Caenorhabditis elegans: one gene and its partners. The protein of the gene in region 1 interacts with the protein of each later gene in a biochemical or structural test. Each region holds a gene or a part of one and is shown on either strand. Other genes may lie near its edges. The genes, in order: sre-24, mpz-1 and dsh-1.

Region 1 (9,319 bases):
ACTGTGATGTGTTGTGATACTACTATACGACCCCGCGGGATTCTTTGTTTTTGTCTGGTAGAAATAACTAGGAAGTAACTGAAAACTTGTAATTACAAGAAGCTATTGTATGCAGAACTTCTTGGGAAAATGGATCCTTGGAGAATTACAGTTTAGGTGCAGGAAATTTAAATTTGGCACCTAGACTAAGAACTAGTAGGGCTTAGAACATAGCCTAGCATTTAGCCCTGCACCTAGCCTAGGCCCTAGCCATGCACCTAGCCTAGCACCTAGCCTGAGAACCTAGCTCAGCACCTAGCCTTGCACCTAGCCTAGCACCTAGCCTAGCACCTAGCCTAGCGCCTAGTCTAGCAACTATCCTAGCGCCTAGCCCAGCGCCTAGCCAAGCCGATGCAGTCTAGTTGTGCCTATCACCATAATATGTACATTGCAATTTTTAGGCAGGTAGGTAGGCACGCAGAGGTCCCTGCTTATTTTGTAGGTATTTCACACGTTTCCAGAACTTCTTTTCATTTTTATTCCCCTACAATTTTTTACGATCTCGTAGTTAGTTTGTGAATAGCTCTTATCAAAATGCCATCGTTTTCTGCCTTCTTTTTGTCGCTCTTATCAGTCGTGAAGTTTTAATAATTTCAATGTCTTCCCATTTTGCGTACACTAATCGGAAGTAAAATTTTTTCGGTGCTGAGGAATGAGAAATGTGTTTGCGGAGTTTAAAGAACCCATAATGAAACTGAAGGAAATTGGCATTTGTGGAAAAGTTTGGTATGACCAATCTAATACAGTCTTAAAACTATGACAGTGAATGCCGTAAAGTTTATGATGCGGAGTTTTTTTTTTCAAGAGCAGCTTGAATTGATAAAAAGTGTGAAAATGACAAATTCGGGTGAAACTTGAAATAAATACAATTTGAGTAGATAAAATACAAAACCTTAAACTTTAGCATATTTTTGGTAGAATATACCAGGTTCGTTTGTAACACTAATTTTGAAAGGGAGCAACACTATTAGAAGCTGCAAAACTAGAACAGCGCAGGCAGCCTATGCCTACCTAGCAGTAATCAAAGTTATTAAGGCGAGTTACGCCTGATCTGTAGGCAGAAGGCATGCCTACTCTCTATTATTTTGTATTCCTTCTTGTCATAAAATGAGTTCCTTCGGCCAACAATCACCAATTTTTGCTATTAGGAAGAATTCCTTGCGGCACAGAGTTTCCCAAGTTTTCCACAATTTTTGCGGAGTAATTTCAAACAAATGTCAACTGATAAGACGGGTGGTTAAACCGAGAATAAGTCCGGCGGCCTATTTGTGGGCGGAGACTTTGGTGTAGTAAACAGTTTTCGGGGCGACTATAAACCGCTTGGTATAATCTTAAAACTTTCAGTTTGCCATTAAGCATCTTCTTTTTTTAGTTTTTTTTTTAATTCTCAAATTCTGACGTTTCAAACTTTTGATTTTTCATTTTCAGTCATGTCCTTGTACGGAGGTATTCCGACGAATTTGGTGAGCGGCATGTCATCTGCCGGAGCCATTTGCACAACGCAAATCAGGGATGCTCGTGAGCGTGAGAAGAGAGAGATCGGGCTCTTGAACGATCGCTTGGCTGATTATATCGAAAAGGTATGTGCTTTTAAGAGCGTATGTCCCGACATTTTCCAGATTTCGTTTCTCACACAGTAAGTTGCAGAGCTCGCAAAATGCCGGGATATACTCTATCTTTTTAGTCAAATTCTGATATTCACACCACAGTTCCATCAGTTTTCATAATTTTGCAGGCACTTGCTTGCCGTATTCCTAATAACTGATTAATTTTCACTGATAAGCGTGTTTACTTCCTTTATGTATGTGGTTGAATTTTGATCTCTGCTCTATATGTACCCGTCAATTTACTCAATCCTTTAGGTTCGCTTCCTCAAAGCACAAAACCATGTGCTCTCCCATGACATTGAGATTCTTCGCAGAGGATTCTCGGGCGGTGGCCACATTTCAAGCTTCTTCGAGTCAGAAATTTCGGTAAGTACGATAAATTCCTTAAAAGCTCATCTTCAAAATCCAGAACTGCACAGTCATTTCTGAGCGAATCTTGTCATCGCGCACAAAGTTCCAAGCCGACATTACCGGGCTAGAGGGAGAGATCGAGATCTACCGCAAGAAGTGGCTTGAGGCTCTCAAAGTTGTGAGATCTCATCGCGAGGATCATCATGTCAATTTGGACAAGCTCGCCGAGGTTGAAGCCCAAATCGCGCTGTTCAATCGCAAGATCCGTATTGTTGAGGAGGATGTGCTCAGAATTCGTCGAGAGACTGGTGGCATTCAAAATGATATTGGCAGAATTCATTCGGTATGTTTGATGGGAAAAGAACGAAGCTCACATTTCTGATAGTAATAGACATGTTAAATAGGTCAACCCTCAGCGCAAACCACTATCATGTGCCGACAACAACTCACGGGTTCCGCGCCCTCACTATGTTCACCTCGCTGTGGGCGCGCGCGCGCGGAACCAGTTAGATGTCAGCACTTGATATCAGTTGGGGTCCCAATTCGGGCTTCATTCCATAAACCAACCCTCCAAGTAGGCGGCCTAGATTTAGAGTAGCTTATTTCGAGTGTGCTACTTTTACAAAGTCCTATCTATTTTCAGCAAATTCACGCTGAGATCGCGTTGAAAAACGAACGCCACCACAGTGTCCAGATGCTTCTCCAACGCGTCCAGGTTATCCAAACCGAAAACTCATCCAGAATCGAGCAGGAGCTCATCTACATCCACCGTGATACCACACTCGAAAACCGAGACTACTTCCGACAAGAGTTGCAGGCGGCGATGAGAGACATTCGTGCCAACTATGAAGCGATGAGCATTCGTTCCCGCGAGGACATTGAAATCGCCTACCGCAAGAGAATCGATGAGATCAGAGTTATCCCAGCACACGTACATATTGAAGACTACAGGGAGGAACTGTTATCCATTCGAACGACACTTAGCACGACGCACAGTAGATTAGCGGAGATTGAGAGCAGAAACGCGTGGCTCTTGACGACGATCACAGATCTTAAACACCAACAAGCAGAGGAAGCAAGAATCTTCGAGGCAACCCTGGACGCAAAGCAAGCAACCTATGAACAGTTCAAGGAGCGCTGCACGGAACTCAGCATACAGATGGAGAAGCTTTGCGATCATGAAACGGTTAGTACTTAGGGAAACTGAACTTATAGATTCAAGAAATTTTATATCCGTTTCAGTCGCTACAAGCAGAGCTGGAACGCTACAGAGTACTGCTCAACGGAGCCAACGTGACAACCTATGTGTCCAACTCGACTGGAGCCGCTGGTTACCGATCCTCCACCCACGTCGCCACTACTACAACCACAACGACCAATGGGTATTCTAGTGGATACACGGCTGGAGGCTACACATCCGGAGGCTACACAACCGGAGGATACACTCGTGGAATCACCGCCGGTGGTGCTGTCGGCGGAATATCCACTGGCGGATACATCGGACGGTCCTCCTCCTCACACGGAATATCCGTCGGTGGTAACATTGGCGGTGTCTCAGTTGGAGGTCACATCAATGGCTACCATGCTTCGGGAGACATCAGTGCAGCTGGTAGACACCACGAGAGCTCCTACTCCTACTCTTCGTCCAACAACTAGGCAGTGAATCGAAACTGTTCATTGCCGTCAAATAGTGTTGTTCCATACAATACCAATCAGCTTTTTCTGTTTTTTGTTGTTGTTCTAGAAAACTTTCAAAGCGTGATGGCGATAGAAAGTTTCAAATTCCTGTCTTGTTCAAAAACAAATGTATCAAATAAATTGTTGTCATGTCATTTATGTTATGTAGCCAACTTGTGGGATGTAACGAGGTAACACAGATGTTGTCGTAAACCCATTGATTGCTATAAAAATAACAGTCAATTAGGGGATGCGCATCCACGTTGCGGGTGTTGCGGAGACGGTCAGCAGGTGGAGAGCCGCCTCCAAAAGTGGAGTGGCCGACAGTAAACGACGTAGCGCAAGTGGTGGAAGTTTAGAAGCGAGGTGGAATCATTTCAAGCTCAATTTGTTAGGAAAAAAGAGAGAATTGACCGTAGCCGAGCCCACCTCACAACACAACTTTTTATAACATTCCACATAAGTCAGAGTCACCCTGGCTTCAAAGAACTCTAAAAACTTCTTAAAGGTGGAGTAGCGCCAGTGGGGATTTTGTCTAAATGCACTTAAAATGATCCAAAACAACCAAATATCATAATAAAACACTCCAAAAAACTTTAGATTTTTCATAATTTCCGGTCAAAGTTTTGCCAAATTGCCAAAATTTTGAAAAATTCGAGCTATTGAGGAAATTTAAAGAAATGTCGCATGTTTCGACCCCTGCAATGTTTTATTATAAACAACTTACAAAAAACAAAAAAAAAGAAAAATGTCGAAAAAAAATTTTTTTGGTCCACTTCCAATCTTTTGAGTGGCAAAAACTGAGTAATTGCCACTTTTTAACAGTGAATAAAAAAATTTTCAAAAAATTTTTGAAAAGTTTTATCATTATATTTGGTCATTTTGGGACTGAAGGAGTGGTTTTTAACTATTTCCCCACTGGCGCTACTCCACTTTCAAAATATTGAAAAAACGAACAACACATAGTTTTGTTCAAAAATCCAGTCTTATGATGTTCGTCGCAATGACATGAGTCAAAACAGGTGAATTTACTAGCCTGAAATCTACTAACTATTATATCATTTCCGCATTTATTCCGAGCTAATTTCCTCCTAACTTGCTCCAGCTCCAAATGTTTATAAAAGTCAAAAATTCTAGTATCCCGACCTTCTGGCTCCCGCTTATCTTCTACGACGAGCCATACTGGGGCCAAGTGCTGGTTACCTTGGTTGAAATTTGCCTCTATATTTTCACTGGATACGTGAAAACTGTTGCTCTGAAAACCATCCTAGAAATTCGAATTTTTCATACTAATTTGATGATCATAGGAGGCTCCGCATTTGGAATGTGGTACTTTTTGATTTTTGGGAAGTTGATAACTATAGCATATAGACTTATACCAATAATTGATGATATCGGGCGAAAAGGCGATTTTTGGACGGATGACCCGGAAAAAATGCTCAATGTGCAAGAATTGGATGGAATTTGGTTTCTGATAGTAGCAGGATTTTTGGAATGTTATTTTGGGTATTCAGTGGTTTTTGGAATAATGGGTGTTGTAACAGAAAGAGTGATTGCCTCGCTGTTGATAGAGTGAGTTTTGGAATAGTTTTGAGAAAGGAGTAGTCTCAAAGTATTGAAAAATGTAGTTCAGGTGCTGAAGACTCTAGAAATAATTTTCAAAAAAGCGGGAAAAATATTATTTTCGTAAGAGCCAACGTGGTATAATATTGGTAGGAAATTCAGGTTTCCTGATTGTGAGAAAAAAAATTGACTAGATCCATCGTGGAGAGATCTATCGTGGTGAGACCCCATACCGACCAATCGAAAAATTTTTGGCTGGATATTCAATTTTTCTAGTTACTAGACCTTTCTAGAAAAATCTAGCCACTTCGAGTTTTGTAGAAAGTCCGCGAAACTTCAGGAAAATGTGGCTTAGCGCTTCAAAATTTAATAAATTAATTTTGTGTGCCCCGGTCGAACAGCTGGTTAATTATATTTCTCCAATTAACTACCTATACTTCCAGTAACTACGAGAAAAACACAAATATATTGATACCTGTGGCTATTATCACAATGTCCCAATTTTTTGCAATATCTCTAACCGTTCTTCTGATTTCCAATATTTTTCCAAAACTTGTGCTAACACTTCCCTGGGTGGCTTGTTTTGTCGTATCCATATTTGTAAGTCATAACTACTTTGATAAAGTTTGAAAAAAACATGTTCAGATGTATTTTTATATAAGGGAGATAAATACAAAATGGCTTCAAGAGATGGAGAATCCTCGGAGGACAAGAGTTTTTACAGTTTCTCAAAGATTCCAAGTTAAGGAGAATCTGAAAGCAGTTTACGTAAGTCAGTCGGCTAAAAACTAAAACATAATATGCGATTAGGAGCATGAAGTGTTCAAAAAAATATAAGACATGTTCATAGATAATTCGGAATTTTTTTTTAATTAAAAAATAATTTCAGCTCAGTGAACGTATAGTAGCATCGGTTCTCGGTTCCCTTTTATTATTTGGAAGTGGTTTATTGGCACTATCTTTTAATTTGCTCTCGCCATTTACAGTCCATATAGGAGAAAATATGATGTTTTGGTAGGCCTGGGAAAATTACAAAAAAACACCCTTGAAATTTCCAGCTATCCATTGCTAATTATGCCATTAATAGTGTTTGGGATACCTGCTTGGAAAAAAAGATTCGTCAAGTATTTTCCGGAAATTTCATTTTTCCGTCAAAAAATGGTTATACGAATGTCTAGTGTGGACGTTATTGATGACAATCAGAAGCAAATTATGAAAGAAACGGATACTTATTTTAGACAATTGAAGGATGCGTGGATTTGAAAAAAATTCCAATTTTGCAAGAAACTTTATAAAAAGCATTTTAGTTGCTCTCGGGAGAAAATTGCTGAAAAAACACTGAGATATGTAGTGATGCAAATAAATATTTCATAGAACCTATTTAACACTGGGAACACTTTGCAACAAACCGAACATTTTTTGCACATTTTTTGCACATTTTTTGCACATTTTTTGCACATTTTTCGCACATTTTTCGCACATTTTTCGCGCATTTTTCGCACATTTTCGCACATTTTTCGCACATTTTTTGCACATTTTTTGCACATTTTTCGCACATTTTCGCACATTTTTCGCACATTTTTTGCTCATTTTTTGCACATTTTTTGCACATTTTTTGCACATTTTTCGCACATTTTTTGTGCTCTTGGTATGCTCTTTCTGAGTTTAAATACAAAATTTCAGTAGTTTTCAGTTCAGCGAAAAAAAACTTTTTCTGAGAGATTATGTTGAAAAGTTGTTTTCTATTAGCAACATACTATGAGATGAACATTGAGAAATCATTAAAATTGTTTTAAACGATTGAAAGGCGTAGGCTGAGTCTTAGGCTTTGGCTTAGGCGTAGGCTTAGGCTGAGGTTTAGTCATAGGTGGGGGAAAGGAAGAGATAAAGAAGAAATTCCAGAAAATTCACGAATTTATAAAAAAACAGAAGGTGATTTTTCAAAATAATTTATTGGCTGAAAATTGAAAGTCCATTTCAAATTATCCGCAAGAAGTATTAGTAGCATGTCGGTGGCATTCTTGAACTTTAATGATCTGTAATCATATTAGAAACATAATAACGTATTTTTTGGTAAATTCCCACTACCTGTGTTTTCGACTTTTCTCCACAGAAAATCTCACATGATGTTTCTCTATACTGGGACGACATGGCAAGGCAAATGAATATATGAGAGGATGAATTGAACACTGGAAGAATTTCGGCAAAAACTTGAATCATATACGAAATTGTTAGAATTCCAGGGTTTCCGTGAAAAGCCCCCGCGGTAACATGGGCAAACCCATTGGGAACTTCCAGTATGAAAAATGAGATGGTCACAAAAAGTACCAATTTGGTAGTGTTATCTGACTTTCCACAATCTTCTTTTCCAATATTTTTCCTTCGTTTTGAGGCCTTACGCAGTTCAATTATCAACAAAACAGTGAGAATCGGATCTATAAGGGATGGGAGGGCTTTGATGATTCCGTATATTGAGGTTATGATGCTATGGAGGTGTTCAAGGGAGGTGTCGACCAGAACCATGAAACGGAGCTGGGAAAGGTGGACTTCGTTACCATCGCAACTGAAAATAATTGTTTGACAGAATTGATTATTTTTTTGATTTTGCAACAAATTTCAAATGGATGATAGGCCACGAAGACTTAGAAAAACAACCATTTTTACAGATTTAAATTTTTATTTTAAAAATCACTATAACGGAAACTAAAATAATAACTATTCGAAAAAAAATTGGCGGGAATTCAAATATTATGATTTCCAAAAAATTTTTTCATAAATGTCAAACTTTGTTTTTTTTTAATTTTTTTATTAAATCTTGGCTGACTATGAAGTTCAAAATGTAATTTTTAAAAAATGCCGGGAAGTCAGATTACTATACGTTTTGCAAAAACAGTTTTGGCGGGCTTGTTAAATTTCAAAAAGAAATTTTTAAAAAAATTGTAGAAACAACAAATGCGGAAAATATAAAGTGCACTGAAAAAACACCTGAAATTGGTAATAAGACCAACATTGGTAGGTGCGTAGGCAGGTAGAAGATAGAATGAACCTACTCATAGTCAATATTCCTTCCGTCAATTTTATGTCTTCCAAAAACTACTAAAGTCCACGCAGTATTAACTACCAACACTCCAATAATCGTCCACAATGCCCACTTTGGATTTGAAACTTTGTGCATTTTTGTGCTCATTGGATACTTGACCGATAGAGTTCTATACAGAGCCATCAGTACGGCAAGCCACGATGAGCTCCGTTGAGTGATATCCAGGACGATAACCGGGTAGAGTAGTAGAACAGCATCCCTATAGGTCATAGTTAAAAAACATTCCTGGTTCTTTTTCCGAACTTCACGAATCCAGAAAGGAGAAAATGCGAGAAATGTTAGAGTATGTGATATGATATCACACGAGCAAATTCCAATCATAAGTCGGTAGACTGAATTGGTTCTTAAATGTTTTCTACTCAAAATTGAAAAGTGAACCAGGTTAATTCCAAATCCAAAGAATTGAAGTATCGCCAGAACAAAATTTAATTTTTTTTCAGCCTCATCAAACCAGCTTGGCAGATCTCCAAATTTGGTGAGGTTTGGGGATTGGGTGGTTGATTCAAATGTTTGGTTCATGGTTAATATTTTCTTTTTTTATAATAAGTAAGCTCCATTTTATACACAGCAAAAATATTTTAATGCATTATTCTACCTAGTAAACACCATTTTTGTAAGGGGTATGTTTTGTCTCGGTGAGTATTTTGGTAAAACTTTTATTAAGTGTTACACACATAAGTGACTAAAAAGTAAAGATTAAAAATCTCGAACAGTGGAAATAATAGAAATTGAGGTGTCTAACTCGGAAATCAAAAATTTTTTTACCAAAAAAATGCCAAAACCGGGAATTGCTGTTGATAAAAAATTATATTCTTCATAATGTGTCTTCAAAGCAAATAATTTTTTTTTCTGAAATGCAAGACATTCGAAAAATGCAGAGCTCTAAAATTTTTGAGACGTGTAGAAGTTTTCTGGGGCAACCGAACTTTTGCCACAGCTTTGTAGAAAATGATTGTAGTCCGACGGAGCAGGATTGGCTAGT
Region 2 (9,958 bases), on another chromosome or scaffold:
GAAGAGCAAAAAGAGGTTTGTTTTGAGTTATTAGAATTTCCGAATTAGCAAGATTAAATATTTAATGATAATTTACAGAAGCGAAATATAAATATTATTCAATACGACTCGTTGGATGACCTGAGTGGAGATTGGAGCGAGTACACATTCTTTTGTGGAAACTTTGATTCTGACCTCTTTCGAACACTAACAAAACATCAGGAAACGCAAGCACTCTTTATTATTGGGGCGTCCGTGTTGAAAAATAAGCTACTGAAAAATGAGGTAAACTCGGCGCAAGGTCTCATCCAGTTTCACTGAAAAATTGCAGGATTTGATGACGTTGCGAGCTGCCCGACCACTCTACTGCGAGCTTATGAAAGATGTAACAATGAAGTTAGCAGCAGAAGTACCAAATAAGCGAGAACTCGTTGACTTGGTTCATTATATGGGCGGTAGTGTGAGGAAAGATGTAAGTTACCTACGATCCTGAAAGCTATAAAAATACAATAATTGAATTTCAGACAGTATCACGAACAAATGTGTTCATCGCAGCGAAAGTTGAAGCCAAAGTTCAGGTGAGTGCTATATATTTCGGACTATTTCTTTGGAAAAGCCCTACATTTTTTCCAAATTTGTGGCTGCTATGACATTCAAGTATAAAACAATTGTATTCTCTCATTTTTTCAGTCAATTTCACTAGTCGGTGTGCCTACGATGCGAGCAGATTGGGTCACAGAATGCTGGAAACATCGTGATGACTCGTATTTTGATGTGATGGAACCATGTTTTGTAAAAAATTCTCTCTATAAAAGTCATTTTCTCATCGCTTGCCAATTTTCAGGTAGATAAGCATAGACTTGGCGTATTTGAAGGACTCAGCCTATTCTTCCACGGCTTCAAACAAACTGAGATAGATGACATGCTCAGAAGCTTGGAGAATACAGGTGGAAAACTTGCTCCGAGTCCCACGTTGGCTACTCATGTTGTGTATAATCCTGATAATGACGAAGTTGAGACATTAGCAGTGTCTTCTAATCAAGTTCACGTCACTAAAGAGGTAATTCAAAGGATTTAAAAATCAATTTTCAAAAAAAGAAAATTAAATTAAATATTCATTTCTCAATTTACAGTGGTTCTGGGTAAGCCTGCACCGTGGTTGCTGTGCTATAGAGGATAACTTTGCTCTTCCAACTGGCAAACTTCACAGAAAACCACTGGAAAGCAGTAGTGTCAGTAGCCCGATTGGAAAATCTCTTCGCTCCCAAAATTCGAGATCTTTGTCATCAATGCGTGACTGTAGTGTTGAAGGACCAACTTCGTTGAACATGACACCAGACTACATATACTCGAATGATGATGTGGAGAACTCGTGCAAATCGCCACGTCAACCATCGAAACGGCTCAGAGTTTGTATGGAGATGGTGGAGACGGAGAAGAACTACTTGTCACTGTTGAAGCTTGTTGTCAAGGTTGGATATTGACTTATCGCGAGGTGCAAGCGCGCTCCACGGCTAAACGAAATAGCTCCGCCCATTAACGTTGGGTCTCGTTAGGTTTTGGCAAGAAAAACAGAAGTTTCCAAGAACTTTTAGCGTTTTTGGTTGTGTCTTCTGTTGCTTCCATGATTTTTGTGTCGAAACTGAAACTATTCGTTTTTCAACTAAAACAATAGAAAACATTACAAAAAGTTTTTAAAAAATGCTTGTAAACATAACAACTTACCTCTTTTTTTTGGTGCCAATTCCTAACGATACCCAACGTTTGGGGGCGGATCGTTTTTCATTTTGCCTTGGAGCGCACTTGCACATTGATTTCAAAAGTCTCCATTTTCTGATATGAATATTTTTGCAGTTCAAAGAAGCTCTGGAATGTGAGATCTCACACAACGAGTTCATGTCAAGATCCGATGTCGCCATGATGTTTGGAAAGCTGGATCCGATTCTCGAACTTCACGAAAGGATTTTCGCCAGACTGACAGTAATGTCAAACGAAGCGAATACACTTTTGACGGTCGTAAATGGAAAAAAGAACGATGATAAGAATCTGGACTTTGCACAAGTGTGGATTGATGCAAAAGAAGAAATGAAGAAGGCATATCCTCAGTACATCAACTCTTATGACACAATCAAACGGTTATTCGATAAACAGGATCGAGAGAATTCTAAATTTCACACATTTTGCAAGGCAAAAGAGAGTAATCCAGAGTTTCATCGGCTCAAGTTGACGGATTTGATGGTGAAACCAGTGCAACGTCTTCCAAGTGTCATTCTTTTACTCAAAGAAATGGCAAAGAAATCCGATTCAAAGCTGAAGAACAATGCTGAAGAGGCCGCAAAAGCGATTGACGAAGTTTTGAAGTGTGTACTTTCAACATAATTAAATTTTATTTTTCTAAATTCATTTGTTTTTCAGAACCGCCAACAAAACTCGTGAAAAGAATGACAACTTCATTTCCCATCTGAGCAAGTTCACTGACATTGAAAATGTTCCAGTAAGCGCGGAAATTTGTTGAACAGATGTTAAAATAATTTTTTTACAGCCAATTTTGGTGGCTGCCAATCGAATGTTCATACGAGAGTTGGTCGTTTCTCCGATTGCAAGTACGTCGCCAGGTCTACAGCAGTTTGCGAAAATGAAATTATTTTTATTTCATGACGTGCTAATTGTAAGAGAGTCTTTAAATAATTATTTTGAATAATAATTCTGAAATTTCAGATCACGAAAATACGCAGCGAGAAGAATACAATGCAACGTCTAGCTCGTCACGCGTCGTTTGCCAGTTTACATTCGAGACAGCGTCGCCCCTACAGGTACATTGACCAGATACAGTTGAACACGATGCGTAGTGCATTCCGAATTCGTGCTCCCGACGAGATTGCGAAGTGTCTGGAGTTGCAGCAGCAGAACGGAAGCACAAAGCCAAATGTGTTTGTATGGTGCCTGATTCATCGTGACGAGCAAGGTGGTGACATTGACACAGTCTTCGAATCGAATGATGATGAAGAGGTTCGAGATTTTCTCGACGATATTCATGTGAAGATCTTGAGTGATTGTGGGAGATTCTTCTACTCGTCGGATCCATCAGATATGAATGAGATCAACGATGCGATGGTTTCGGATATGACAACTCGATACTTTAGAAAGTAGGCTTATTTCAGGTTTCAAGTCTTTAGAAAAAATCAAAATTTCAGTCTTTGCGGAGCGAAACCACAATATGGACACGGCAGTCAGATGAACATTACGGTCAGTGAACGATCTACACAAAACGTGAGAAATGAAGTTTGATACATGAGTGGAGAAATTAAAATTGTCCACAGTGTTACACCTAACTTGAATGCTTATATATAAACTTTTATTACAGGAATGGTCACACAATGAGTCGTTTATGCCACCACCACAGTCACAGAGTCGAATGCGACGAGCGTTCAGTAATGCTCAACTCACACTTGCCACCACGCTGGGCTTTGGCAGAAATCAGAGTCGAAATAACTTGGGACAAATTAGTGCGTTTTTAGAAAATTTATTTTTTTTTCTTCTGAAATTGTATTTGATTCACTAATTTCAGACGAGAACACGACATTTCTGCAGTCTCCCAGAGTTTCGTGTGATCCAGCAGCTCTCGCAAACATGACGTCAGTCGGCGGATTGCCTGGATGCCAAAGCGAATCTGAATCGACGCCAAAGCGAGGAATTCGGTACGTCAATGCACCCCACAGATTTATCGGAGACAACACGTTTTCGAGATCTGTCCGAAAAGTCAATTTGAAGATCTACGGTTTCAGGATGTGGCACCGTGTCAACTAGAAATACTCGTAGTTTTATCGAAGAAAAACTTAACAATGATGCTCCTTTGTTGTCACGTTTTTCTTCGAGAAAACCACGAAAATTTCTAATTGGCACGGTGCCAGATCCTGAAGCCGTAGATCTTCACATTGTAGATATTCTTTTAGTAGATCTTCTTTTAGTAGATCTTCTTTTCGGCCGGATCTTGAAGGCGTGTTGCCTCATTCATTGACCATATTTTCCCATGAGTTAATGCCAAATTGACACTCTACATCTAACATATCCTGTTAGTTATTTCAGTTCTCGCCTCACCTCGACAACGTTCCTCGGCGGCCGACACAACATACTCGGACGAAACACGTCGATGCGCCGTCAGGCTACCGGATTTGCTCATTCGGAAAAGGAACTACCTCGCTCAAAAACATCTTCATATCGTGTCACCGATATCTGAAACTCCCCGCACCCGTGTAACTGATAACTCGAATCTCTCCTCCGACTGATAAATAATTCGTTCTCACTCTTTTCCGAGCTTCATACCTCCAGATGCTCACCGGTGTATTTTGATGGTTTATTTCTTGCTTGCTCTCAGCTCCCTCCCTCTTACATTTTTCATGTTTTCACCCGTAGTTTTTCATTTCGTTTTTGTAATTACAACAACCGAAACTACCGTAATCACCATCCACAACTACGACCAGATCCTTTGTATCATACTGATTTACCATTTACCACAGGTGTATTTTTCCCCCCAAATCGTCATTATCATCTTCCTGTCCCCGAGGCTTGTGTGACCATTGCTCCTTGACTTTTATTATTTCCCCGAAATCACTTGTATGCCATTCTTATCCGATACCCCTTTCCCCTTTTATTCTCACCATTCATTTGAATGGTCATTCCCCCACAGTAACGTTACGATTACTTTTTTCTTTTTTTTTGAAAATTCAAATTTTATTCTTGTTAGAAAATGCGATAGGGGGTTCAAATGAAATTACACCCTACTTGTCTTTAAGTCTTTGAACTCTCTAAAAACAAAGAAACAAAGATGAGATTAGTGAGAAAAAGGAAACATGGGCGGAGCCTTATAGATGGCCCCTGGAGATTTCATATCTTGGAGCACATGCCGCTTGGCTTTTATTCATTCATTCCGAAACACGTCTTGGCCAGGATCCTGCATATTAGTATATTTTAAATTCAGATTTTTAAATTTTTTTTATCTTCTTAAAATTCGAGCTAATTAATTGTGATTCAGAATCTGGAATACATCATTGAATGATCGATGAGCCAGAGGATATAATAGCAGTTGAAGATGAAGCCGAAAGAAGGTAGGTCTGAAAAGAAAAAATGATTCGAAAGCGAGAAAAAAGATGTGCGTCTTTAATAAGTACAATAACCCGCAGATTCCCGTTATTTCGATAATTTCTCGGATTTTTCCACACATTCTTGCTAGAAAAATATTTTTTGTTCAGAAACAAAACTGAAACTTCTGGTAAAAGTGAATAAAATCGAAGAAAAATGGAAAACGCCGCAGCTGGGTTACTGTACAATTTAAAGGCGCGCACACTTTTCGCGCAGCCTCCAAATTTTATTGGGGAAAATCGCTAAAATTCGCAATTGGATAATAAGAGACTGTTTGAAAAACTTTCTCATACATTTTATCAGTTGATTTGGGGCACGATCGCGCTCCACTGCCAAATTAAAACGCCCCGCCCCTAAACGTTGGGTCTCGTTAGGAATTGGCGGCAAAACTAGAAATTCGAACATTTTCAGTCAATTTTCGCCAGTTTCGTTTTTAGGCTGTTTTTTTAAAATTATTTGTATGTTAAAATTGATGAAATAAAGCTGGTTATAAGTTTGGTTATAAAAAGCTGCGGCAAAAAAAGGGGGAAAATATATTTTAATAGAACGAAGGAAATGCAATGTCTCAATAATATAGTTAGACCCTTCATTTTGTACTCCATTTTTGGTGTCCCCCCGTCCAGAAGGAGACGTCTTCCTTTTCTTCTGCTTCTTCTTCTAATTATGCATCTCCTCTATACTTTTCCTCATCTTTTTTCTTCTTCGTTTTTTTCCTTGGTCCCATCTTTATTCCAATGTTTCTTTGTGTAGTACCACTACCATATGTTGTTCTTTTAATACACTTTCCCTCCTTTCTTGCCTCATTTTTCTTCATATTATAGACATGGTGCATCATGACTTGAAGCATCATGCACCCCCAAAAAAGAAAAAAAAGTAAACTAAGTCGAAAAAGTTTTCGAAAAAGCCCTTTTCCCTGATTCCTATACAAATAGCATTGTGCCAAGTGGACGTTGTTTGGTGGGAAAAAAGGTGCATAGAGAAGGGCGGGGGTCCCGGAGCCGGCTCAATGTTACATCCGTTTCGGAAGAGTTGAAGTAGACAAGGAGAAAGATGAATTTAAGGACTCTTGGGAACTACGCTAGAACACCTTTTCGCTTTTGTTTTCGGAAGTATAAAAAAAAACAGAAAAACTTAAAAAAAATAGAAACTTGATTTAAGCATAATGATTTTTCTGTACACAGAACTGTTATGGGGTTATTCAAGTAGTGTCGGAAAATTAAAAAGTGTAGAAAAATTACGTCACAACCTTATTCAAGTATATAAAAACATGTATTTAAATACATTTGTGACGTCACAAATGTATTTTAATACATTTTGCTACATTACTTGAATAACCCCATTACTCCAAAAATACGGTACCCGGTCTCGGAACGATAATTTTTTTGTTAATTTCAGACTGGTATGCGTCTTTAAAGTGTACTGTAGCCACAAACTTTTCTCATTGCAGATCGATTTTTTAACGCCTGTAACAATGTATATATGGGAAAGAAAAGTATTAAAAATCGATGAAAATTCCGCAGCAACAAATGTTCGAATTTACAGTACTTTTTAAAGGCGCATACCTTTTTGAATTTGAAAAAATTGTCGTGTCGAGACCAAGGACCGTATTATTGAGATAACAATCCGAACGCTTTGGCATCGGGGCTCCGGGAGCTTACCTGAAACCTTTCATCATCTGGAAGAAAACCTAAACTTTCCCGTTTTCCTTTCTGGAAGAACAATATTTCCGAACAGTTGCTTCATTGTTTATAGTTTTGGAAAATAATATTATAAGTTGCCGTATCTTTTTGTTTTCTTTCAACAAAAGATTCAATAGATTTGATTTAGGGTTGTCATACTATTTTCTACCATACGGTACCTACAGGCTTCACCCAAGTAATTAGAATTTTCGCATTCCTCTAAGCTTGGCTACATTTTTTTGTGAAGGCATTTTACAGGCGAGTGACGGGTGACATTCTGTCGCGCCTCAGTAGAACGCGAAGACGGGTGTTTCCACCTGAACCTTCTCACCCAATATGTAACTAACTTCTCAAAAACCAATCCTGGCTTCCACAGGACATCGATTCTCACCAGTTTCTCACCCGTATCAATCGGATAAATCTGGTCTTTTCTTCTTCTTCTTCTCAAGATGCTACTAGCCACCAACACAGAGCACGCCTACTCTTCCTCTCCGTCCGTCTACTCCGCGGCAGCTCCTCCGCCGCCAACTCCTTTTCTTTTCTTCATCTGCTACTTCTTCTTCTTCTTTTCGTCTTTCTGCTCCAACGCAAGACGATAGCTCAATTATCCACAAACACACACACACACATGGAGAGAAATACACACACACAAATGCATCACATTCGCACTCCGGGGAGGAATAGAAAAATAGACGTCGTGTACTTCCAGATTCTGGTTTTTTCTGATTTATGACAATTTTTTCCATTTCTGTCGTACAGTATTTTGTTTAACATTTTTTAAAAATATCTATATGCTGTCAGCACTTTTCATTCCGCCTCCAAGTTTAATAATTCCCCAAAGAACTTTTATCAATTATCCCTAGAAATTTGTTCTCTACAACTAATGTCGGCGTAACAGTCATGCGTAGGCGTTTTCGGCGTGAGGCAGGCAGAGGTCACCTTCAGGTTTGCCCTAATTTTGGATTTTTTGGCCTATTTTTCGAATTGCTTTTTTCCAACAAATGGATAGTTTTCAAAATGTGAATTTTAAGTAAAGATTTTTTTGAAAAAAAAAGAAGCTGGTCGCCTCGATGATTTGAGACCTTGGATAATCAGCTCGAAACTGGTAGATTATGTTTCGATATGAGTTCGGTTATGGATGGTTACTGTACACTATTGCTGGAAAACCGGACGTACACTTTACGTACACCAAAATCATGCCAGTCTTACTGTACACATTTTCAATATTCCAGAACATTTTTTTCTTAAAATGCACACAATTCTACTGAAACTTCTTGGAAGACGAACCTTCCATCCATCATGCCCAAGTGTTTATTCTTCCATTTTTCGACCTCCTCATCTTCCATCTTCTCCGCCTTCATTCCTTCGTTTTTTTTCACATTTCCACTTTTTTTCTTCATATTTCATTTTTCGTCTTTTCTTCCTAATCCTCGTTTTTCTTTCATTTTTCAATGTCCCTTTCCCTTATTTATTGTTTCCAATATTTCCAACAACAGCTCCATTGGACATTTCAAATTTCAAATGTCCGCCCGTTCATTTCTCACTCAACCTTTCCGGCCGTAGGAAAAATAAAGATGAAACTGGACATGCAATTCGTAGTTTTCTTTCGTTTTATTGATGTCTGGACATGTTCGGTTTCTTTTTGGAGAACCTTTTGAAATATCATTTTTTGGAAAAAAAATTCAAAAAATAGTAGCACCAATATTTTAACACCATATTGCTCGAAATATTCGAAATATTATAAACTCTCATTTTCAAATTTTCTTCTTGGTGCTCTTACGATGCTCTATCAAATGTCTGCCGTCTCTCCCAATCAAACAATATTTCCATCTATCAAATGCTGGTCATTGACAACGATTGAAAGATTCAATGAGCTTCAGCTTCTTCTTTCAATGTTATCTTTTCAAATTGATTTTTCTCAGGCGTTTCAATTTTTTCCAAATTCGTGCCTACATTTTCTAATCAAAACTCACAAAAGCATCGAAAATAGGCGGTAGGCAGTCACATAGGTAGGCAGGCATAAAGTAGGTACAAATTGGAGATTGAGACTACGTGACTAGACCCGGATCAACTAAGAATTTTATTTTTAACCTGGTTTCCGCCTCAAAGTGCTCCTCGGAGCAATGAATCGGGTTTTGTGTTCTCATACTTTACACATTGGCGGATCACTTTTAAATTTGTTTGTAACTTTTTTTTGAGGAACCGGAAATTTCCGAAATTTCTTTTTTTTAAATAGCCACAATTATCTTCTGTACTTACAGAGTTAAGCCAAAAATTAACTTTTGATAATTTTTAAGTAAACATTAATTTTTGGATATTTTCCTTTGAGTTCCTTTTTTGGCCCGAATATGCAATATATAACAAAGAAAATCTAAGAAAATTAGATTGCAAAACTTCATAAAATGCGGAAATTGAGTGGGCCAAAGTTTGGAATTTCTAGCATTGGAGACAAAGCATTGGAGACAAATATTCCAGAGCGAATTTTCAGCTAGATAAGTCTTTTTTTCAGTAATTTTTGATTAATGAAACTCAATAAAAAAATGGTCCAGCTGAAAGTTCTCCCCAAAAATTTTCTCACCGATTCTAAATTTTTCAAATTAAGCCCCGCCAATTTTTGTTTTTTTTTAATTCGAGCTTCTGGAGCCAAAGCTACCTATCAAACTTTGACTCTAATTCTTAATCTTCAATTATCAATCTTGAACATGTACCAACCGAGACATGACTGTCACAACAAATCGTGGGACTTCTCCCCTCTGTGAAAGCATGTGGTTCACCGGGAGCACACACAGGGGCTCTTCAACCCTCTAAATCTATTGTTTTTGTGAATTGTGTGTGTGTATGTGTGTGTGTGTAACAAATATCTTTCTGAGATGGCCCCGCGGGCTCCAAGGAGCCAACGAGAGCCCAATGATCTTGGCTCTGATTTTTTTTGGAACATAGTTTAATTTTGGGGTAAAAATAAAAAGAAACGTGTAATTTTAATTGTTTCACTTCTCTGACTGTTTAAATAAATTTCTCCTACCTCTCACACTTATGCTTTTAAGTTGAGTAGCTTTTTAGAAGTTTTAATTTCTGAAAAATTGACAAACATTCGGAATTGTTTCGTAATAGGTAAATTAAATTGCCATATTACAAATATGCCAATTCATGGTTTTTACATT
Region 3 (13,065 bases), on another chromosome or scaffold:
AAAATGACTTCCAAGTTTCTTTATTTCATTCATTCCTAATTTTTATCAGTCAACTTGCAAAGATGTCGACAAACTTGAATATAGAAGTCAGTATCAATTTAACTGAAATCGATGTGAACGCTCAATTGTAAGTTTTTTGTTTCAATCAAATCGCCTAAATCTCAGAACTTGTTCATTTGAAGAAAGTATTCAAAATTTAATTCAATTTTTACAGAGCTGAGTTTGCTCGTTTCCAACAAGTTCGCGATGACTCGCGGTACGCACAGGACGTTGAACGTGAGTTCGTGTTGGGGCCCATTCGACACCACCGACGGCAGCTGGAGCCATCAAGGTACACGTTTGATTCGAAAGATGAATATGATGTTTGGTTTCAGATCTGCTCCGTTGGCTTCCACAGAGCAGCCAGTAGCTCAGGCTACCACACATCCGTCAACCGAGAATGCACGGGTACCAGCTCTAGTTCTAAGGTTATCTTAATTACGCCTTAAAATATAAAAAACACAACATTTTAGATCAGGCTCATGGCGAGCTCTTCCAGTGGCACAAGGCGGTTCCTCACATATTCGTATCTGGCCGGTGTCACGGAGTGCTACAACAACTTCGACGGCAACTCGTCATCCACCATTCACCAATACTTCGGCATCAACTTCATTTGCACCATATCAACGTCACCGAGGAAGTGCTCTACAAACTTCGGAATGCACCATTTGCTTTGAGAAGCCCGTTGATCCGAGAGGATGTCCTAAATGCCTCAAAGTCATTGGCTGTAAAAAGTGAGTTAATATGAGATATTGAAGATGTTATAATTAGGCAGTTTCCAGATGTGTGAAAAAATGGTTTGATACGTCTGCATCGAAGGCGTGCCCACTATGTCGATTTGAATGGAAACTGCACAGAGACAACCCAGATGTTGTCAAAATTTCAACTCTTGAAGTTCTGAAAAGGCAGAAGCAAAACCGTCCATAGACTTATGTCATGAATACAATAAATTATTGTTACTGAAGTTTTTTTTTAATTGTACAGGATTATAATTTTACGCGTAGCCTTCCATGGGGTTTAGTAAGACTTGTCGCAAATACGGACAGAATGAACCTCTCCTATTCTCGACTAACTTCTGTTTAGAATATAAAAGGACTATATCACCGGCTTATGGCACTCGACTCACTCCACCGAGCGGCGACACGTCTTAAGGAACCACCCTGCAAGCAACTCCAACATGGCCAAACGTCTACAACAACAAAGGAAACCCTTTCACACAGGAACTCTAGGATCAAAAGGATGCAATTGAACTGCCAATAACACCGTGGAACAACCTTTGCTACCTTTACGTGAAAAGTCATATCCGATGTCTATATAAGGAGGAAATTGTGGAAGAAACATCAGTTTTGAATTTACTCAAGTGAACTCCATTTGCTAATGATAATATATAAATAAAGTATTGTTAATAAATGAAGTTTATAAATAAGCATTCCACTGAACCGCCTTCGCGACAAGAATTAAGAAGGCGGCGGATAAGCAAAAATCTTGAATAAATAACAGTTTTTATACAGCTCAAAAAGTAAGCACCAAAACATTGAATTAATATTAACAGTTAATACTCGTATCTTTGTCCAGTTGCCATAAGAAATGAATTATTTGATTCTTCATAGATTGTAGAACTATCATCAAATGGAACATTTGCAGACGATGATGGTTTTCTGGGAAGAACAACAACTCGTCTGAAATATTTTAAAATTATATTGGGAGTTATTTCGAAAAACTATGTCAAAAATGTTAGAGTCTACCGTGTTATATAAAATTGGAACTTTTGAAGTCAGAGAAATTCAGACGAAAGTTTTTAAATTTCCAGTGCCTCACACTTTTCACTTTTTTCCAACTTAAGAAACAAGTTCTTTTGGTGTGGTTTTGAATTTTATTTTTTTCTTGAAAATGTTTAAAAAAGCTATATATCTTTACAAAATACAAAAATTTCTTTGTATGTTTATAGTGGAAAAACTCACTGTTTTCTAATTCCACCGCCACTACTTCCACTGGTTGTACTTCCTTCTCTTCTCTGTTGCTGCAATTGAGCTGGTGGGAATGGTGAAGCCGGCATTGATGCATATCCACTTACCTGTTTATATATTTTTCAAATAATATATTTCTCACTTTGCAATGTTCGTGTGGTGTGAAATATAACAACATTCTTTTGATTCAGAATATTATTTATTATTCTGTCATTCTTGTGGGTGGCAACATTGGACTGATACATTTACATGCTACTGAGAAATGAGGGGGCGAGAAAATAACAATGATATCGAATATAAACAATAATTTTAGGGCAAATGCAATAGAAAACAAGACGTTTTTTTTCTTAGTATAGGGTGCATCTATTTCAGACAAGGATGTGGGGAACTCGTGAAGAAGATCGCAATTCGTGTGAATTTGAGAAGGAAATGCAACAAAAAATCGACGGACAGATTCAAAAATAGAATAATCAAATAAAGGAAAAACATCCAAAATTACAATCACCGGGAACATATGAAATTTTGATTCATGATTGGAGACTTAGAAGTTACAAAATATTAAATTAGAACTTATTGTAATACCGGGTACATGGTGTACTGTGAGAGAAACTATTTTGAATTATGCCATTTTGGCATTGATTACCAGACATAATGAAACATAAACATGAAGAAAAATGATGACATTCTAAATGTGCATTACATACATGCGCGATTCGCCGTCGCTTACCATTGACGGAGCCATCCCTTTAAAAGCTCCAGGAGGGCCAGCCATACCTCCAGGTAAATGTGGGGGTGGGAGCATCACAGAGCTTCCGTTGCCAGCAGACATTCCGTTCATTCCGATGGTCCATTGGTATTTGGGTCCACCATCTTCATTTCGGAATCGGGCATAGTCTGGAAGTAATTTAGAAGATATAACAAGAAGGGTTGAATTTCATGTTTTGAATCAGGCAGGGCAGCCTTGAATGCAACCAACTTTTTTGCATTCCTATGGAGATTACAGGCAGACATTTTTGTGCATCAGTGAAAAATTTGTTTTAAAAATATAATTTGAAAAAAATAATTTTTTAAAACAAATTTTTAACATTTCAGTTCAAAAAAATTGCATTAAAGATTTCAAAAGACCCACTTCCATCTTCATATACAAAAACTTTGACATTTTCCGAATAAATGTATACTTTCCTACCTGAACACTCATCTCCAAGGACATAATAGCACTGCTCAGTGAATGTGACCTTGTTCACCACATGTGCAATATACTTTAATTTCAGTAAATCCGCCGCAAAGTTTCGTGCTGTCTTCCGTTCTCGAAGCCCTTCAACATGATCCAAAAGCCATTCGACCAGATCAGATCCTAAAATTGAGAATTAGAATAGGCTCTACACGTTCATTCAAAACTTACCCAAGAACGACATGGGAATCGGAATTTTGAGCCATGTTCGATTTTTGATATCAAGACCAGAGCCAGGCATAGCCATTATTTCGACAACCTTCTTTTTGTCAGTGTGTATATCAAGAATAATATGAGCTCCGCCGCCGACTACTGTATTTTGACCATTTGATCCGTTTGAGGTCACCGTTGAGCTGCTTGGCGGTCGACCATGAGGCCATTCACCAGGAATTGGTGTCGGTGCACTTTCTGGAAAAAATTTTTTAATTAATAGATATTTGTAGGAGAATAACGTAGAAGAAGAACAAAAAACAACATCGAGGCTGTCTTCCTGCCTGCCTACCTGTTTTCAAAATTTTGGTGCAGAAAAAAGGTTTGACTTAATTTTACATTCAGCCTTCAAAATTAGAGATGTGAAAAATTTCATATTTTTATTTTTGTTTCAAAAAAAAATTGAAAATTCCAAAAAGCTTTCCAAATGTTGTTCTACTTTAAAATATCCTAAAACATCAGAAGTCTGAAAAACATCAACTTGAAAGTAGCGAAGAAATGCACTGAATAAATTTCAGCCTGAAGTTGAATAGGTTGAGAGTGCAGCTTATAATTTTGCAAAAAATAAAAAGATCAATCAAATAACAGGCAGGTATTTTGTTTAGTTTTTCTACACTTCCAATCAAAAAACCATACCTTCAACTATACTTGGCATTCCTCTCATTGCATTCGTATGCTGGATCCATGCTTGAGTATCGATTGGTCTCACAGGCTCTTCTCTGCTATTCCTTGGTATTGTGAAACAACTTTGCCCATTTTCAAAACTTTTCGCCACAGTTAATTTGATGGGGCCACGACGGCTAACAGCTTCTCTGAAAATTCATATGTTGAAGAATAAGCTCTCAGTAAAAAATAATAATTTTTACCGTAACACATCAACAGCTTGATCGTTAGTGAAATTCTCAAAGCTGGTCTCATTGACTTGTAAAATCATATCACCAGCTTCAATTCTTCCATCCAATGCCACTGCACCTCCCTTCATGATATTTGCTACGTAGATTCCATTATCACCACAATTAGAAGTTTGACCAACAATTGAAATGCCAAGGAAATTGACTGTATCCATATTGAGGTTCACTGTTATTACATCAAGGCTCATAGAGGACTCTGGAATTCGAATGGTAAAAGTTATGCTAATTTCGAAGAGGTCATACCTGTGATACTTGAAAACGAAGATGCTCTAGAGGGTTTTCGGAAATTTCTTTTATTCTTCTTTTTCTTTGCCATTTTTTCATGTTGTCGGGATACTGATGTGAAATCGGTTGTTGTAGAGCCTCTGAAAAATTGAACGTTTTATAGTTGAAATTGTTATAGATTTTTCAGAATTTTCAGTCCAACTTTTGAAAATTGAGTCTTATTGAGAAACTTAAAGAAGCTTTGCATATTCGATGCCCCACAAAATAAATACAAATGATTTTAAAATTTAAAAAAAAACTGTAGAAATTTTTTAAAATCGAATTATTAATTTATGATAAGCGAAAACTGGTTAATTTCCATTTTGGACTGTAAATAAAAATTTCATAATTTTTTGAAAATCTTACTGTGGTTTTCAGTGATTTTTGCAACTCGTGAGTAACTTTGAACGTTATCAACTAAAATTTTACATGGTTTTCACTAGCTAAAAAAGGAAAACTAATGAGAATTGTGTTCCGTGAAATTCTAAATATAAGCGGAGCACTGCACAAAACAAAATGTTCAAATTCCTTAAAGTTACAACCTAGAAGTTTGTTCCACAAAATCCGAAAAGAACTGAAAGATTTATCGAAAGCAATTATCCACTTCTCATCCATCTCTTTCCACCCGTTCTCACGTCCTTTTCTTCCCCTCCCCAATTTTTATTAGTTTCCTTCAAATAGTGCACAACACTAAGAGCTTGTTGTGATAGTCACTACCAGGCTTTAGCTAGAAGATAAGCGCCAAGCAGGAATTGCTCAAATTTAACGAGCTGTGTCTTATCGCAGAATAAATGAACTGACACGTCGCGAGTTGTGGCACCCGTGCTGCTCGGCGGAGCTGTTCCAATTGCATAGTAATAATCAGAAGTTGAAGTGGAAGTTGTTGAATAATAGGCTTTACCATCAGAGCTTGCGAAATCATCGTCAGTTATGTAGCCGCTCATTTCACTATTTGAGGAGCGGAAGGGCGAAATCATTGGGGGCAGAGTGAGCGGGGATGAAGGCCCGCTTTAAGCCTAGTCATTTGTCACTTTATGTGACAGACAGAGAAGACACAAAAAAAGGTATTAACTATTTGAGAGGCAAAATGAAAACCATCGAATTTTTGAAAATATTTAAAATTTAAAATTTCAAAGGGGTATTGCCTATTCGTAAACTTGGTTTTGTTTTTATGAGTTGTTATATTTTGAATGTAAATTTTTTTCAATGTTGCATATTCCTTGAGATAGCCCTGCAAGACCTGAATGTAGCCCTATTATAACTTAAACTTTTGCTTTAATTTTTTATAAATAAAAATTTGCCGAATAAAATACACTAAATTTTGAAAGGAACACTGTCACCAGAGTACTGGCTTTACATAAAAATTCAATGAAATGAAACCTATGTTTATAAAATTAAAAAAAAAAACATACCTATCATCATCATCTGAAAATACTCTTGCATCGGATTCGGAGCCAATTGTTGATTCTTCGAGATGTCGTCGGTGCCCTGGAATTTAAGAAAACTTAGAATTCGATGCTTTTTCAAATTTTCATAAGATTTTGTTTTTTGAACCTATTACCCTTTACTTGATCACATCATTTTTCGCCATCATTTACCTACCGATCAAATAAAACGATGCATCTGCACTAAGTTCAGAGGTTAAGGATAGATGTGACGTCCTATGTAGAAATCCAATAAGATGTCTTCTCGGCGAAGCATCCGGTGCAACATCTTTCCTTCCTTGATAAGTACTTGTTGTATTTGATCCGCCGTACCTTCGCATTCTGCGCTTCTGTGCTCGATCCGCTCTCTCCTCTTCCACCATTGCCGCTGTACTTGCTGTTTCTTCCTCATAAAGTGGCGGAAGCGATGGACTAGTTGGAATCAGTGACATTGTACGGCTCATTGTGCTTCTTCGTGAAACAAGAGGTCGGCAATCAGATGATAGACCACTTCCATCTACAGTGACCGGCCGACACCTATCGATTCGGTTCAAACTTCGACTTTCAGATATAGTAATACTAGGAATAATAGGTGGACGATCGGTGGTTATTTGACACGTTTTGGATTTTCTGAGCTCCCTAGATGGCGGAGCAAGTGAAACAGGGGAATCAGGAGCCGCAAGGGAAAAAGTTGGTCTGGCTAATGCTGCAGCTGGTGCAATGAGATCCGGTGGTGGTGGCTGAGGTGGGCTCAGATTCTCTTTGAATTCTTTAGTATTAGATCGAGAACTTGATGGTGATGGAGATGCAGACCGAGATTTTGAACCACCAAGTGAAGTTAAAGACGTTAAACTTGCAGCCGAGTGGGACAATCTGATAAGAGCTCCAAAAAACGATGAAGAGGCGGAACCACCACCGGACTCTTTTCCGTTGGCGCCTCCTGCACTTTTTTCGCTTTGTTTCCGTCGTTGTAAAAATCTGCGCTTCGTTGTCGTCTTAGTATTATCCCCCTCTTCGTCGTTACAATCATCTGATGCTTTGCTGGTGCCGGGAAACAGGAGAGCCCCCTCGCTGAGCCGTTTTTTAAGTGGACCACCGAGCGCATTTGAGACCATCTGTCGCCATGTGGATCCGGCAGGTGTATGATTATTTGTGAGATCAGTTAAAGTCCGTTTTAATCGAAATGGTGCCTCAGACTCCGGCTCCACACGACTTTTACTTCTGCTCTTCTTCAACTTTTTCCCCGTACTTGGTTGCTGCTGGCTTCCTGAATTTTCCTTATCATCAGAAGCTTTGGAGGAAGGGAGAATGTTGTTCAGAATTTTCAAATTTCCTAATGGATTTCCTGTATATTTCTTCCTTCTTGGACTTTTTACAACTTCCGAGACGATAGTTTTCTCATCATCAACCAAATCAAGATCATCAATCTTAGCAAGTGGTGGAGCCTTTTTCTTCTTTTTTGGTCTTGACGATGTATTTGTAGGTGACGTTTTCAACTCAATCTTGTTAATCAATTGTGATACAACTCCCGGCGAGTGTTGTCGATTTGGTGGAGGAGCCGTGTATGTCGAACGGACTTTTCGTTCTTTTGAAGTGAATAATAATGAGCGAATCATATCAGATGAAGTGGATGGGGTATTTGAGGAGCCAGAAGGAGATGGAAGGGCTCTATCTCGAGCTCCAAGCTTGATACTCATTGCTCGCTAGTGAGCTATGAGCAATCGTGTCGTTCTCTAGAAAATCGGTTTTAAGTTTTTGATAGTAATAGAGCTGGGAAGTAATAAAAAAGCTTGAAGGTAATAAAAAGAAGAGAAAGAAACGAGAAACACACCTCGATGGGGGGTCATAAATTTCCCAGCATCCCATCTTGTGGCTCATGATGCACTTGGATTAGAAACAGATACTTTCGTTTTACTTTTATCATGTGCTGGGAATTTAGAGAGAAACTGAGAATTTAATAGTCGACACATCGGGAAAGTTGGTACTCAAAATAATCCTGTTGACACCATAAACACTGTCGTTAAACTTTAATCGGACTTGACATATGTCATGTTAAATCTCAATTGACTCGACTATGATAGTGACATCTAAAATTGATAAATTCCTATATAATGAGAAATGCAAAGATTGAGATATTATAATTTTAATATAATATAATTGGTCTATGAGTTTGTTAAGATTCAAGCCATAACAGTAGAAAAATTTAAAAAAAACTCAAGTTTTTATACGCTTAAATCTCGATGTTATTTTGAAAGACAAATGTTTGCTTTCATTTAACTTTTATTTAATTAATCGTTAACATTCACTGATACATCTAATAAAATTAAAATTATAGTTCAATACGTTTCGGTCGAAACTATGTGGCTATCAATTAATAAGATTTTCCCCGTTTCGCAAAAGAGCTTCAGAATAAGTGTTACCATTTCTCAACTAACAAATTTCTTCAACTGGTGGGCTGGAAAATGGCACATGACAACTAAAACCAAGAGCTCACTATCAGTTATTTATATCAACAAATTGCAACTTGACTTATGGCTCACAGTCAAACACCGCAGAGATCCAGAGGAAAACACAATTTGCTATGGTCAGATTAAATGGCAGTTGCTTAAAGAATATTGATCGAAAATTTTTCATCATGACTAGTTGAACAAAGAGTTGCAAATTGATCTCACTGAAACATGTTGCAATGGCTCTTGATGATGACGAAGTATAAAATCAAATGTTTGAATCCACCTACACACATGGGCTAGCAAACATTGATCGGAGGCAGGAAAAGCGGATAAAGCATAGAAAAGATCATTATCAAACTGTCTTTTCTCCCCAAAATCCCGATAGGTATCATGATAGAAATCACAAGTGAGGGATATCCGAAAGTAAATAAAACCACAGATCTCACTATTATAAGGCAGATATCTATTTTCGTGTTAACGAGAATGAGAGCAATATTATGAGATCCTGGGGTGGGTACTAGAGACTATTTCGACACAAAAACGATAATAGTGACAAGTAGAAACATACACAGAAATCGACAAGTGAGCGGACAAAAAAAACTAACTAAAAGTGGGGTGAAGTGGTATGAGGTCTCGAGAAGAGTGTTCAAGTGGAGAGAGAGACAGAAGGAAAGCATCTTGATAAACACTGTGATAAACTCATCGGTCTTCGGGTTTTCATTCCCACTGACGTCGAGCACAGAGATATAGAGAACGGTTTCTCACAAAAAGTGGTGGAGCAAGCAAGGAGCCCGGTTGACCCCCTAACAGAGAAGTTCAAGGACTAATGTTACAAAAGATCGAGAATTGGATGTCAAAGAACATATTTTTCCAATTAACAATGCTTACAAATTCTACCGTACACTACAGTTCTTAAGGTCGCAAAGAGATATTTTTGGTATCTGGTTAATAATTTTTTATTCTCTAATGTCGAAGCTAAACTAAACTAGCTGTGACTTGTTCGCAATTTACCATTTTCAGATGTCATTGTCAGATATTTCAGAACAAAAATTTTTGAAATAAAACAGCTGGGTAGCCTTTCAATGCAACTAGATATCCTGAAAATAATAATCTATTTGTTTCAAAAGTAACAAAATACTTTTTTTTTAATTTTCAACAAAAGAGAGTTTGGATGAATTTCTAATTTGGAGGAAAATTAAAACAGATTATAAAATACGAATTTTATAGAATTTGAGAATATGCTCCTCAGATTAAATTTTCAGAAAAACACAATGAACTAAAATACTTTGAAAAGAAGTTGTACACAAAAGGGAGAATTTCAATTGATTTATACACCCAGCTACCAGGTAATAACCACAATTATGTGATTTTAATTCCACGTAATCACACTGGGGAAATCATCGATATGTATGTGTGTGTGTGTGATTAAATTGAAATGAAATGAAATGTATGTATAAACATTGAATGAAAGCAAAGAAGGAGGAGATCTCCACTCATTGAAATGTGTGTTGGTTGGTTGACTGGCAGCCAGCCAACAAGATGAGCCCAGAAGATAGAATTGAAACAATTGGTCCTTTCTCTGTGCTCTCTCATTTCTTTATGATCTATGAGAAGTGATCTGGGAGATCGGCTCATTAACACCAACATAAAACATGAAAATCAACGGAAGGACATGATGGGGTGAAAGTGTTGAAATGATGTGATCAAGATTTTATGAGGGGAAGTTTTATTGGGTTCACTGACACAATGTAAAAGTTTGCGAGAACTTTCTTAAGAACTTTTTGAGACGAGGTTTTTCTTCCAATTTTTTCTGAAACACTTGGGACCAAGTTCATCGTGTTTCCCGTTTCTCAATTACCCCAAAAGCTAATGTTTGTTTTTTTACCATACAAAGCCTTGAGCCATCTAAGCATTCACAAAAATGCTCACTAGCCTTGACAACTGGCTATACGTGTAATTAGGCACTTTTGTGATTGCATGAGAGGCCCACAGATTATTGTGCAGAACTATTTAAAGTGTTTTTTTTTTGAAATCGAGTATATACCCGTTTTCCAAAAAACAAAAAAGAAACTAACCCAAATAATGTTGTGGAAACCGTCGATTATAGGCAGCACTCTTCAAGTATCCAGGAATTGCTGCCGAGATCATTGATTCCGAATCGGTGCTCATCACTGAAATTCAGGTTGCGTTGAATGTATCAACAATAGTTATAGTTCTTTGAAAAAGAAACAAAATAGACCCAGAAACTGGATCACGGGGACCATAGGGAGGGAAATAAAATGAGAATTAAACAGACATCTGGAGGTTTATGACTTGAGGGTATGAAGACAATTTTACTAGATGAATTGAATTTTTAATTTCTTTTGTCATTGGGGGTTCCGCTAAAGTTTTCCGCTAAATTTTTTCTACTGGGCCCCAAAGAAATTCCTAGATTATTTGGAGCCAATTAATTCCGATACAGTTCTTATTTCCTAGAGAGTTGCCAAGTCCGAATTTCATATATTTTCTGACATAATTTTTTGAAATTAAAAAAAAATCAAATTTCTGGCAAGCCAAAGATTTTCATGTTGGATTTTTCTGGGCGCCGATCAAACTTGACTTGCCAGTTTTTTTTTAAATTTTTCTATGATTTATTATCATTTTTTATAAATAATTTTATCGAATATTTTCTGAGCTTCTCTCTAACATTTTTCGATTGAAAAAACTCACTGGAATTATCAAATTGATAAGCAGCATGTTGATAATTCATAGGTGGTCCATTTCGATTTGAAGGCGCCGGTCCAGGTACTGAAGGATATTTTCGCATCTTCCCACTACTTCCATCCGAATGAGTTGATCCTTCAATTGTCAAAAGAAAGAGCTCAAAAAGGTTATTTGGTGAGGGAGTGAGCCTTTGTGAGTCGTCACGAATTTCGGCTTTTACTTCGCTGAAATTTTTAATTTAAAATGTTTTTTTTTTCATAATTTAAAATAGAACTTACTATCCAGAATCGGGGTCCAATGCTTTTCTATAATATTTGAAATTTGTTCTCATCAATACTCGTTTCAAGTCTCCTAAAGTGATAAGATCAGGTGGTACATGAACCTCTAACATGTATGGATCCGTTTCATCGTCGATATGGCAATATACCTGAAAATTTTCGAAAATTGTATAATGAACGTAGAATTTAATTAATTGCTGTTTTGAAAAAATTTAAGTTTGCTAGAATGATCTATTTTCTGATTTAGATAAAACTCCTATTATAATCAGGTACAAAAAATTACTAGTTTGTAAGATTTTAATAAGGCAAAGATCCAGACAACATTGCTAACTAGACATTAAATTTATTTATTGATTGGAAAATTTTGTTTCAAAAAACTTCCCAATAAATAAGGAAAGTTAACATTCATAATTTTGTGAGCCGACCAATAAATGTTTTAAAATTATTTGTCGTAAATACTACTTTTGCTAAATGACCAAAATTTCAACCGAACATTTTTTCAAAAATTCTCATCATTTGGAACTTAATTATTATGGTTTTTGGGCCACTTTGAGTAAGTTTAAATAAACTTTTAAAAAGTTTTACTTTGTTTTATTTTTAAAAATTTAATAAGTATGACTTAACCTAGTTAACCTAGATTGCAAGTTTTGCCAAAATAGTATTTTTTTTCCATATTTTAAACAACTTACTTTGGTCATAGTATGTAAGAATGGTTGCTGTTTGACAGCTGTTGTGGCCTCCGATGTTTGAGAATATTGAGCAGAAGAAACTGACTTATTGTCAAAGTCTGAAAAGTTAATTGTTTACATTTGAATTCCTTAATAGAAATTTCTTCAAACCATCTTCTTTTCCATTTTCCTCCGTTTGGTCTCTCAGTCGGAGTCTCTCCATCATTGTTGTCGGACTCCCGACGTTTGGAGCATTTAATGACGAGTCCACCGGAGGTGGAGACTCGGCCATTTTTATGGACTGAAAAATGATGGAAATTATAATTAAAATTTGGGCGAAAATGTGAATATTTGAGATGAGAAAGATGTGATGTTGTGACTCGAGACGACGCAGGGAATGTGTGAACACTCTCACGTCATTTTGCACATGTGAAAAAATAGAGAAGAGACAACTTTTGACTTGACTTGGTTTTAAAATTTGAAATTTTGGAGTTTGTCGTTTATTATTAAATGTTAGAGTATTGAAAACGGTAAAAAATTAGCCTTTGCTTATGCGTTTTATGTAGAACGGTTTTTTTAATTATTGACATTTTAAAATCCAATAAAATAATGAATTTTCATAGTCCTAGTTGAAAAGAAAAATATATATGTATTTTTATTCATTTTTTAAAGAACTAAAAGCCTTTTTTAAATATAACAAAAATTAGTAAATTTTTTATGTTTAGATAAATTCAAGAAGTTTTCAGAAATACCTTTTAAAATTATTTTTTGTAAATTTTGAATAAATTCTGGCAAAACAAAATATTTATGGAAATTTTCAGTGTTAATTTCAATGAAACAAGGACAAATTTTGGTTTCGAAAAAAAAAAAAATTCAAAATCCACACTTGGTTGGTAGCTACACTAATTTTAAACACCAAA

What was found.
Region 2: the proteins of sre-24 (region 1) and mpz-1 form a complex in vitro, tested with the Caenorhabditis elegans proteins (one study listed by BioGRID).
Region 3: the proteins of sre-24 (region 1) and dsh-1 form a complex in vitro, tested with the Caenorhabditis elegans proteins (one study listed by BioGRID).

What each region holds. Positions count from the first base shown.
Region 1 is NC_003283.11:2,879,926-2,889,244, forward strand, and holds sre-24 (Serpentine Receptor, class E (epsilon)), read left to right. Parts: upstream 1-4,785; coding exon 4,786-5,246; intron 5,247-5,680; coding exon 5,681-5,837; intron 5,838-5,882; coding exon 5,883-6,005; intron 6,006-6,126; coding exon 6,127-6,251; intron 6,252-6,295; coding exon 6,296-6,500; downstream 6,501-9,319. Other genes in the region: Intermediate filament protein ifc-1, read left to right, coding at 1,470-1,619, 1,902-2,012, 2,056-2,340, 2,641-3,183, 3,240-3,653; srw-4 (G-protein coupled receptors family 1 profile domain-containing protein), read right to left, coding at 7,266-7,800, 8,288-8,856.
Region 2 is NC_003280.10:10,773,200-10,783,157, reverse strand, and holds the start of mpz-1 (PDZ domain-containing protein), read left to right. Parts: upstream 1-5,031; coding exon 5,032-5,084; intron 5,085-9,958. Other genes in the region: ect-2 (Protein ECT2), read left to right, coding at 1-15, 79-264, 311-451, 504-557, 670-771, 824-1,039, 1,113-1,451, 1,834-2,339 and 7 more.
Region 3 is NC_003280.10:5,212,932-5,225,996, forward strand, and holds dsh-1 (DiSHevelled related), read right to left. Parts: upstream 7,744-13,065; coding exon 6,225-7,743; intron 6,111-6,224; coding exon 6,035-6,110; intron 5,737-6,034; exon of another isoform or gene 5,533-5,736; intron 4,724-5,532; coding exon 4,602-4,723; intron 4,555-4,601; coding exon 4,314-4,554; intron 4,260-4,313; coding exon 4,084-4,259; intron 3,646-4,083; coding exon 3,409-3,645; intron 3,361-3,408; coding exon 3,193-3,360; intron 2,901-3,192; coding exon 2,734-2,900; coding exon of another isoform or gene 2,692-2,733; exon of another isoform or gene 2,189-2,691; intron 2,114-2,188; coding exon 2,001-2,113; intron 1,719-2,000; coding exon 1,592-1,718; downstream 1-1,591. Other genes in the region: C34F11.1 (RING-type domain-containing protein), read left to right, coding at 63-127, 215-331, 375-467, 513-773, 822-966.